Xenopus tropicalis: one gene and its partner. The protein of the gene in region 1 purifies or fractionates together with the protein of each later gene. This does not show direct contact. Links are inferred from orthologs where the notes say so. Each region holds a gene or a part of one and is shown in the gene's direction. Other genes may lie near its edges.

What was found. Proteins that work in one complex are often made in the same cells at the same time.
Region 2: the proteins of sec31a (region 1) and scyl1 purify together in Homo sapiens (affinity purification with mass spectrometry; 3 studies listed by BioGRID and IntAct, counting the BioPlex papers as one, with this or other methods). This does not show direct contact. The link is inferred for Xenopus tropicalis from reciprocal best matches to the Homo sapiens genes SEC31A and SCYL1.

The regions. Positions count from the first base shown.
Region 1 is NC_030677.2:85,402,431-85,406,088, forward strand, and holds part of sec31a (protein transport protein Sec31A), read left to right. Parts: coding exon 1-138; intron 139-290; coding exon 291-410; intron 411-1,423; coding exon 1,424-1,495; intron 1,496-3,457; coding exon 3,458-3,637; 3' UTR 3,638-3,658. UniProt on the Homo sapiens protein: Component of the coat protein complex II (COPII) which promotes the formation of transport vesicles from the endoplasmic reticulum (ER).
Region 2 is NC_030680.2:33,680,384-33,684,041, reverse strand, and holds part of scyl1 (N-terminal kinase-like protein), read left to right. Parts: intron 1-284; coding exon 285-398; intron 399-771; coding exon 772-927; intron 928-1,090; coding exon 1,091-1,279; intron 1,280-1,400; coding exon 1,401-1,476; intron 1,477-2,123; coding exon 2,124-2,303; intron 2,304-3,026; coding exon 3,027-3,160; intron 3,161-3,272; coding exon 3,273-3,353; intron 3,354-3,488; coding exon 3,489-3,658. UniProt on the Homo sapiens protein: Regulates COPI-mediated retrograde protein traffic at the interface between the Golgi apparatus and the endoplasmic reticulum. Involved in the maintenance of the Golgi apparatus morphology.

The DNA.
Region 1 (3,658 bases):
ATGCTTGTAGCACAACCTGGTACCCAGACTTCCTTTCCAATATCACAGCCCTGCAACAGTCAACCTGGACTGCCCCTTGAGTCCTCAAAGCCCAGTATGGAGGGTGCCCCTGGAGCACCCATTGGCAATACCATTCAGGTGATTTAAACTAGAACTTTAAACTTAGAAATAAAAAAAATAAAAAAACATTTATGAGCTTCTTACTAGCTGTTTGTTGACTGCTACACAGTGTTTGGAATGCTCTTTGTATATATGTGTAGCTAAATATAGTTTGTATTTGTGTACTACAGGCTATTCATACTCTACCAGCTGAAAAAATTGTCAAGAATCCAATTCCTGGAGAACACCTGATTCTAAAGACTACATTTGAGGCTCTTATCCAAAGATGCTTGTGTTCTGCAAATGACCCGGTATATAACATAAGATTGAATGTAGGGCAAAAACCATATGTTTAGATCAAATTTGATGTTAAATCATATTTTCTGGCCTGACTGACAAATCTCTGTATTTCTACAATTCTATCTTAACGGAACGGTCAACCATTCCATTAAGGCCAAAGAAAAGACAATGACTATACTATTAATGGGGATGTAAAGGCAAAAAATAAAATTACATTTTCACTTTTTATACTTCAAAAGAAACCTATACTTGGTACACTGTAAGTGGATTGCAAATGTTGAAATGAAAGATCCCAGTAGGGGTTGGATTAAGTTTTTGTCACTTAGCTGCTCCTTAAAGGGATTAAGATATGGGGAAAAAAATGTTGTTTTTGTTTTGTTTTGTTTTTTTCCAAAATGCAGCCTATTGTGCTGTCACTGCCCTGCTTTAGAGTAATAGCGCTCCTGGTAGAAAACTGTCCAACAGTAACTTCCAAGAACAATTACTTCAGGTCCTAAATAAATGATACAGTGAGAGACAGAGGGTACTGTCAACACAAATATATTAAATGCAGTAAGAGTCAGTAAAAACCTTAGTTTCCCGAAGCCTGGAGAAGTTTTTAACATTGTATAGATCAAAATGAATCCAGATATCATTTGCATTGATAAAAATGCTCCCAGATAAGAGAATAGCACCCAAGAAGAAATTAAAGGACACAAGCTAAGTCAGTTGAACAGATTGGGAAAAACATTGAGTAGGAGAAACAGCAGCTTATCTTAGTTGCAGTGCTGGCTATTTCTGAAAGCAGGGGGTCAGGCACAGTGACCTGATATGGCTGCCTATGCACCAACATTACAACTACTGGTCAAGAATAACATTTTAAATGATAGCATTAAATATTTGCAATGTACACTGTGTAGTAATAAAAACTACTCCATAAAAATAACTGAATCTCTTTAAATACTATAGTGTGTTTAGATTTTACACTGTAAAAAAATAGTTGAAAGAAAAATGGTTTCATTTTTTTTTTTTTTTTTTTTACCAGCAAACCAAGCGGAAGCTAGATGATGCAAATAAACGCCTAGAATATCTTTATGATAAACTGCGAGAGCAAACGGTAAGTGTGTATAAGCATGCCATATTGTTGTACTCCCCTAACAGAAATTAGCTGCTGACTAATTTCATAGGCATTATTTTCAAAGAAGAGGTTGAAGCTTAGCAGACCTTTATACAATAAACACTATTCCCAGCAGGATGTTTGACCAAAAATCATTTGCATATGATATATTAAAATAATACTATGCACTTATCCTTCTGCACATTTGCAGAGATTGACAGTGGAATGTAAAAATTACACAGAGAACAGCCATCTTTCCAATGCCACAGTGCATTGCCAGACTATCCATAATTATATTTTGTTTTCATTTTTAGGTATTAGCTGTGTAACCTCTGGCATCTATTAGAGGGTGAAATGACTAATGTAGCCTGTGTCTATGGACCACACTTTGCACAACTCTTTCCCCATTTCTTTCTCATTTTAGCATTCGTAATTTAATATCTTGAATCCAGTTGACAAAGTAGCTGTCACTGCTGCTTTGCCATAAGCTGGATTTTTGTGTAAAACTGAAATTCATAAGAGCACTCTGCAATTACACATTAATTGTGGTTGGTTAGATTAAAAAAACATGTGTAACCTTTCCTACTAGGTTTGTTGCTTTTTTTTCAGTTTCCAGATGGTCCACTTTCTAAGTAGGGAAAAACTTTATAAAAAAGCTCATTGCTGAGTTTAGACACCCTTTTCCAAAACCAGTCACCTTCACCTTGATAATGATTGTTAATTATACTTCTCTCACGCCCCTGTACATTATTTGTTTTTAATAACTAAGTTAATATTCTGTGCAGAAACATTAACTAAAGGCAAAATTATTAAAAATATTCAGCAACAGTTTTAGGAGTTTATTACGTGTTTGAGACTGAAACTAGTGGGTAATAATTTGTAAAAGAAAGATGATAATGATGTAAGGATTTTACAACGGGGACAGAACTGGAACTGGACTTTCAAATGTTAAAATATGTTCCCATATGGTTGCAATATGTATGTATGTATGTATAACTTTATTTATAAAGTGCCACAAGGGTACGCAGCGCTGTACAGTCTTACAGAATACAAAATTACACACAGGGAGGACAAGTGATATAATATATATATATATATGTATACATATATGTATTTAAGTGCCATGTGGTATGAGACACAGTAGGAAGGAGGTCCCTGCCCCGTAGAGCTTACAATCTGAGTCAGAATGGGCACATTTAATAAAAAAATGAATGTGTAATTATTTTTTTATTTGAATGATTTGTGTGGTTTTTTTTTTTTTGTTTTGTTTTTTCCTGACAAGTCCTAGTTTTCAATTAAAGAAATGGTTAATGAAACTATATTTAAAACGCCTGAGAGGAAGCACTATGGTAACTCAAAACATACTGAAGCTGAAATGTGTGTTTAATATAATTTTAAAATATTCTTTAATTCTGTGTTACAATGTTTGATCTGTTTTTTTTTTTAAGAAATGTTTTGTGATTTTCTTTGTCATCATGCACAATATGCAGTTTAAAGGAGACGGAAAGGCTAAATCACTGGGCATGTCACTGCCCAGTGATTGTAATTTGTTACCTAAAAAACCCTGCCCGGTGCTCCTGTTAGGAGACAACTGTACCGGCTGGGGTGTATGCCAGCCAGCGATTCTTCTTTCTGCTTCGGTCTTGGCAAATGTGTAGTAGAGAGCCAACTTTAACAAAAAGGCTGGCTTTTTCACTCAACTGTGCATCCATAGGCCCTGGGATTCTAAAGAAAGAAGACAGAAGGAAGAGGAACACACTACCATATACCCCAGGCCGGTAGAGTTTTACCCTAACAGGAGCACCAGCCAGGGGTATCAGGTAAGTGATAACAATCACAGGGGGTTCCCTAAAATTTGATTTAGCCTTTCCTTCTCCTTTAATATCAAGTTTAAGTAATGCTACAGATACAGTACAACTTAGTCTTATGTTCTAACTCTATCTTGCTACTTGCTTTTTTCAGCTTTCCCCTGCAATAATTGCAGGATTGCACAACATTGCCAGAAGTATTGAATCTCGGAACTACACAGAAGGACTAAACATACACACCCACATTGTGAGCACCAGTAACTTTAGTGAAACATCTGCTTTTATGCCAGTTCTGAAAGTAGTTCTAACCCAGGCCAACAAGCTTGGGGTGTAAAAATGTTTCTCAGAGACTTGA
Region 2 (3,658 bases), on another chromosome or scaffold:
TCATTTTTAAAAATTAGAATTATTTGCTTATAATGGAGTCTATGGGAGATGGCCTTTCCGTAATTCAGAACTTTCTGGATAATGGATTTCTGTATAAGGGATCCAATACCTGTAATAGCAACCCTGCAGCGGCAACAAGGTGAATGTCCTGTAACGGCCCAGTCAGACCTCTCATCTCGATCCAACTGAGAATCTTTAGCACCATTTTAAAACTAAAGGCCATACTAGTAATTCAGCTGTAATCTGATAATAAAGTACATTAAATCTTTATTTTTATGTGGCAGATGGAGAATTTTATCCAGTATTTAAATGAACCAACAGTCAATGCACAGATTTTCCCTCACGTCGTACATGGTTTTATGGATACCAACCCTGCTATTCGGGAGCAGACAGTAAAGGTAAGTAATGTGCAACATGGCCATGCATAACAGACACCCACTCTTTATCTCTAAGGTTTATTCTTGGTAGGTTCTGGGGAAAACCCTGCCATTCAGTTTAGATGCAAAAGCCACTTTGATGATTGCTAACTGAGCAAGTGCGGCTAATTCCAGATATATCATGGCCAGGAAGGATTGGTTCCAGTAGGAAGTGACTGCAGACAGACAAGGAAGTGCTGTGATTCTCCCTAAGTGTGCAGCAGGGGTCAGAAAGCCCAGGCCCAGGAATGAGAGGAAATAGTGTTTATAATACGTAGGGTCGAATAGTTTGAATGCAGTCAACGAGTATACATTGTTGCCAAAAGCTTAATAATATTCTATTCTCTCCCTTCAGTCCATGTTGCTCTTGGCCCCGAAGCTAAATGAGAATAACCTCAATATGGAGCTAATGAAGCATTTTGCCAGACTCCAGGCACGTGATGATCAGGGACCAATCCGCTGTAACACAACTGTCTGTCTTGGGAAGATTGCGCCATATTTAAATCCTGCTGTAAGTGTTTATGTGTAAGCTGTGTGTGCATATTGCTACTGGGTACATGTTCTAAATATACATCTATCATTACTGGGATACACTGTCCTTAAAATCCAGGAAGCTTGTTGCCATGAAAGAAGTGCAAGCACATGTGCTCAGTGCAAGCTTTCCCTTTTTGCAGACACGTCAGAGGGTTCTGATTTCAGCCTTCAGCCGAGCCACCAAGGACCCGTTTTCGCCATCGCGGGCAGCAGGTGTTCTTGGTTTTGCTGCTACACACAACTTTTATTCCTTGACTGACTGTGCTGGAAAGGTTCTGCCAGTTCTTTGTGGGGTCACTGTGGATCCAGAGAAAAATGTCAGAGAGCAGGTGAGGCATCAGAATTTATATCAGCCCTAGCGATATTACAGAGTAGGGCTCAGCTTTGTGTTGGTTGTAATGTCAGTGACCAATCACTACATCCCATGACTTGGGCATTTATTCATCTCAGGCTTTCAAAGCAATCCGCAGCTTTTTGGATAAACTGGAGACAGTATCAGAGGATCCATCGCAGCTGGCAGAGCTGGGTAAGTGCCATATTTATCTCACTTTTAATCTACAGATCTGTTTGTGTGTAAATAATGGTGCTCTGTCATGGACTCAGATTCCATAAACCACAGCAGTGACTTCTGCCTCTGCTTTTATACATAAAGTGATGCTAGCATCGCCCAGGTTTGTTATCCCTGCACCCTTGTCTCGTGCCTGTGGCCATGCTTGTACAGTCGGTACGTAACCAGTGCTACCCATTGCCTTATGCAGTGTCTCATCTCTCAGTGCAGCTGTCTTGTGCTGGTGCCCATACTCTCACAGGTGGTCACAAGTAACTGCACACAGTGCCACTACTGACCTGACAAACTACCCCTCTATCGCTGATTAGCCAGTGGGCAGAAAGCAATTGGCATTTTGTGTGCAAACAGACAATACAATCCTGAATGTAGTGCATCTCTTCATCAACCAAACCTACCCCCACGAGCCGCAGCCACCAAAAGCCAGGGTTTACCTTGAAATCGGACACAAGAATAGAAGGAATATATGAGAGATGTGGACTTTGTACAAAGCAAGAATCTCCATCTGTCTGTCTCTCTCTCCAGAAACTTGGTGCTGCTTTTCAGAAGTTGACTACCAATATGAATCTTCCTCTGATATAAATATAATTACTTTTTAATTTCTGCAGAGAAGGATGTACACACAGCTTCCGTAAGCCCAAGTGTTGTGGGAGGCTGGGCTGGCTGGGCCGTCACTGGCGTTTCTTCCTTGACCTCCAAGTTCATCCGCACAGGTGGTGGAGCCCAGGATGCAGCTGCTTCAGAAGGGGCATCGGCACCTTCAACTGCCTCAGAAGCAAGCAAACCAGGTGCAGATAATCTAAAGTACCAACCTAATACACAGACAGGAGATGCACTGCATTACATGTAGGGCATTTAAGGGCAACTGTACCTTAGAAAATGAATTCATTCAAACTTACCTAGGGTGCTTTTTTGTGCACTTTTGCAGTTTATGCTTTTTTAAAATTATTTTTAATGGTTTCTGAGATTTTAGACTGCTAATAGCAGGCTTCCAACTTAGTGGCTCTCTTTGAAGTTCACAGTGCTAGTGACATTGACTATCTATGAACTTTGCTTTCCTGCATTTGTTTAATCCTAGGGTTGCTGAATTTCATTTTACAGAGCTTATCTGTTATGTTATTTTTACCTGTGCCACTTGGCCCTGTTTCAACTTGATTTTTTGTACTGTACTGATTTTAATGCTTTTTATGCATTTGTATTTGTACTTAGAAGTGGATATATAATTATATGGGAAAGAGCGCCTGTATCAGTAGTTTCCCTCCTTGCGGTGGAAGTACAACCACCTATGAAAATAGTAGCTGTCATATGACATGTACATGATTTTCCACCATTTATTATTTATGTGCATAATGTTATGTGACAGAAATGACATCACTAAGAACCGTTTTTAATTCACAGGATATTTATAGCTCTTGCATTATAATATTATGACCCTCTGCTTCCATATTACCTTGGCTGGTCTTGTTAGGAACCACCTGTTAACACTATTTTTTCATTGTGTTTTTTATAAGATACTGCTCCTTCATCATCTGCTCCCCCTGCTGCTGCATCAACTGCCCCAACCAGTTATGAACCTGAAGAAGAAAAAGGTGCTCCGGATAATTCCTTAGATCGATGGGATGATGAAGATTGGGGCAGCCTAGAGGTGGGGTAGAAAATATTGGTATTGAAACATAGGAACACTGACCCCCAACCCTGAGTGATGGGCTGGAATAGTATACTCCCCAATGTATATAGTATGCCTGTTTTCCTTGCAGGATGCCGAACAGAACAGGGGTCAGACTGAGAATGACGACTGGGACACAGACTGGGGCCACGGGAAAACACAGGAGAAAACTGTAAGTGGCTGATACTAAATGTGACTCTGCTTCTCTTACAGCCTTGCAGGCACTTTGTGCAGGGTTAGTTCATGCTGTTTGTACATTTCTGTGCAACGTATACTCTATTTTTACTTATTTGTCCTGTTACTCCAGGTTGACTTTTCTTCCTCAAGGTCCAAAACAAAGCAGGTTTCACCCCCTCCTAACAGAACTTCTGCTCTTGATGATGGCTGGGGATGGGATGATGCATTCCAGACTGTTCCTCCCTCTAAGGAACACACAGCATCTAAATCCCAACAGCTGGAAGGTACTCGGCCTGCTAG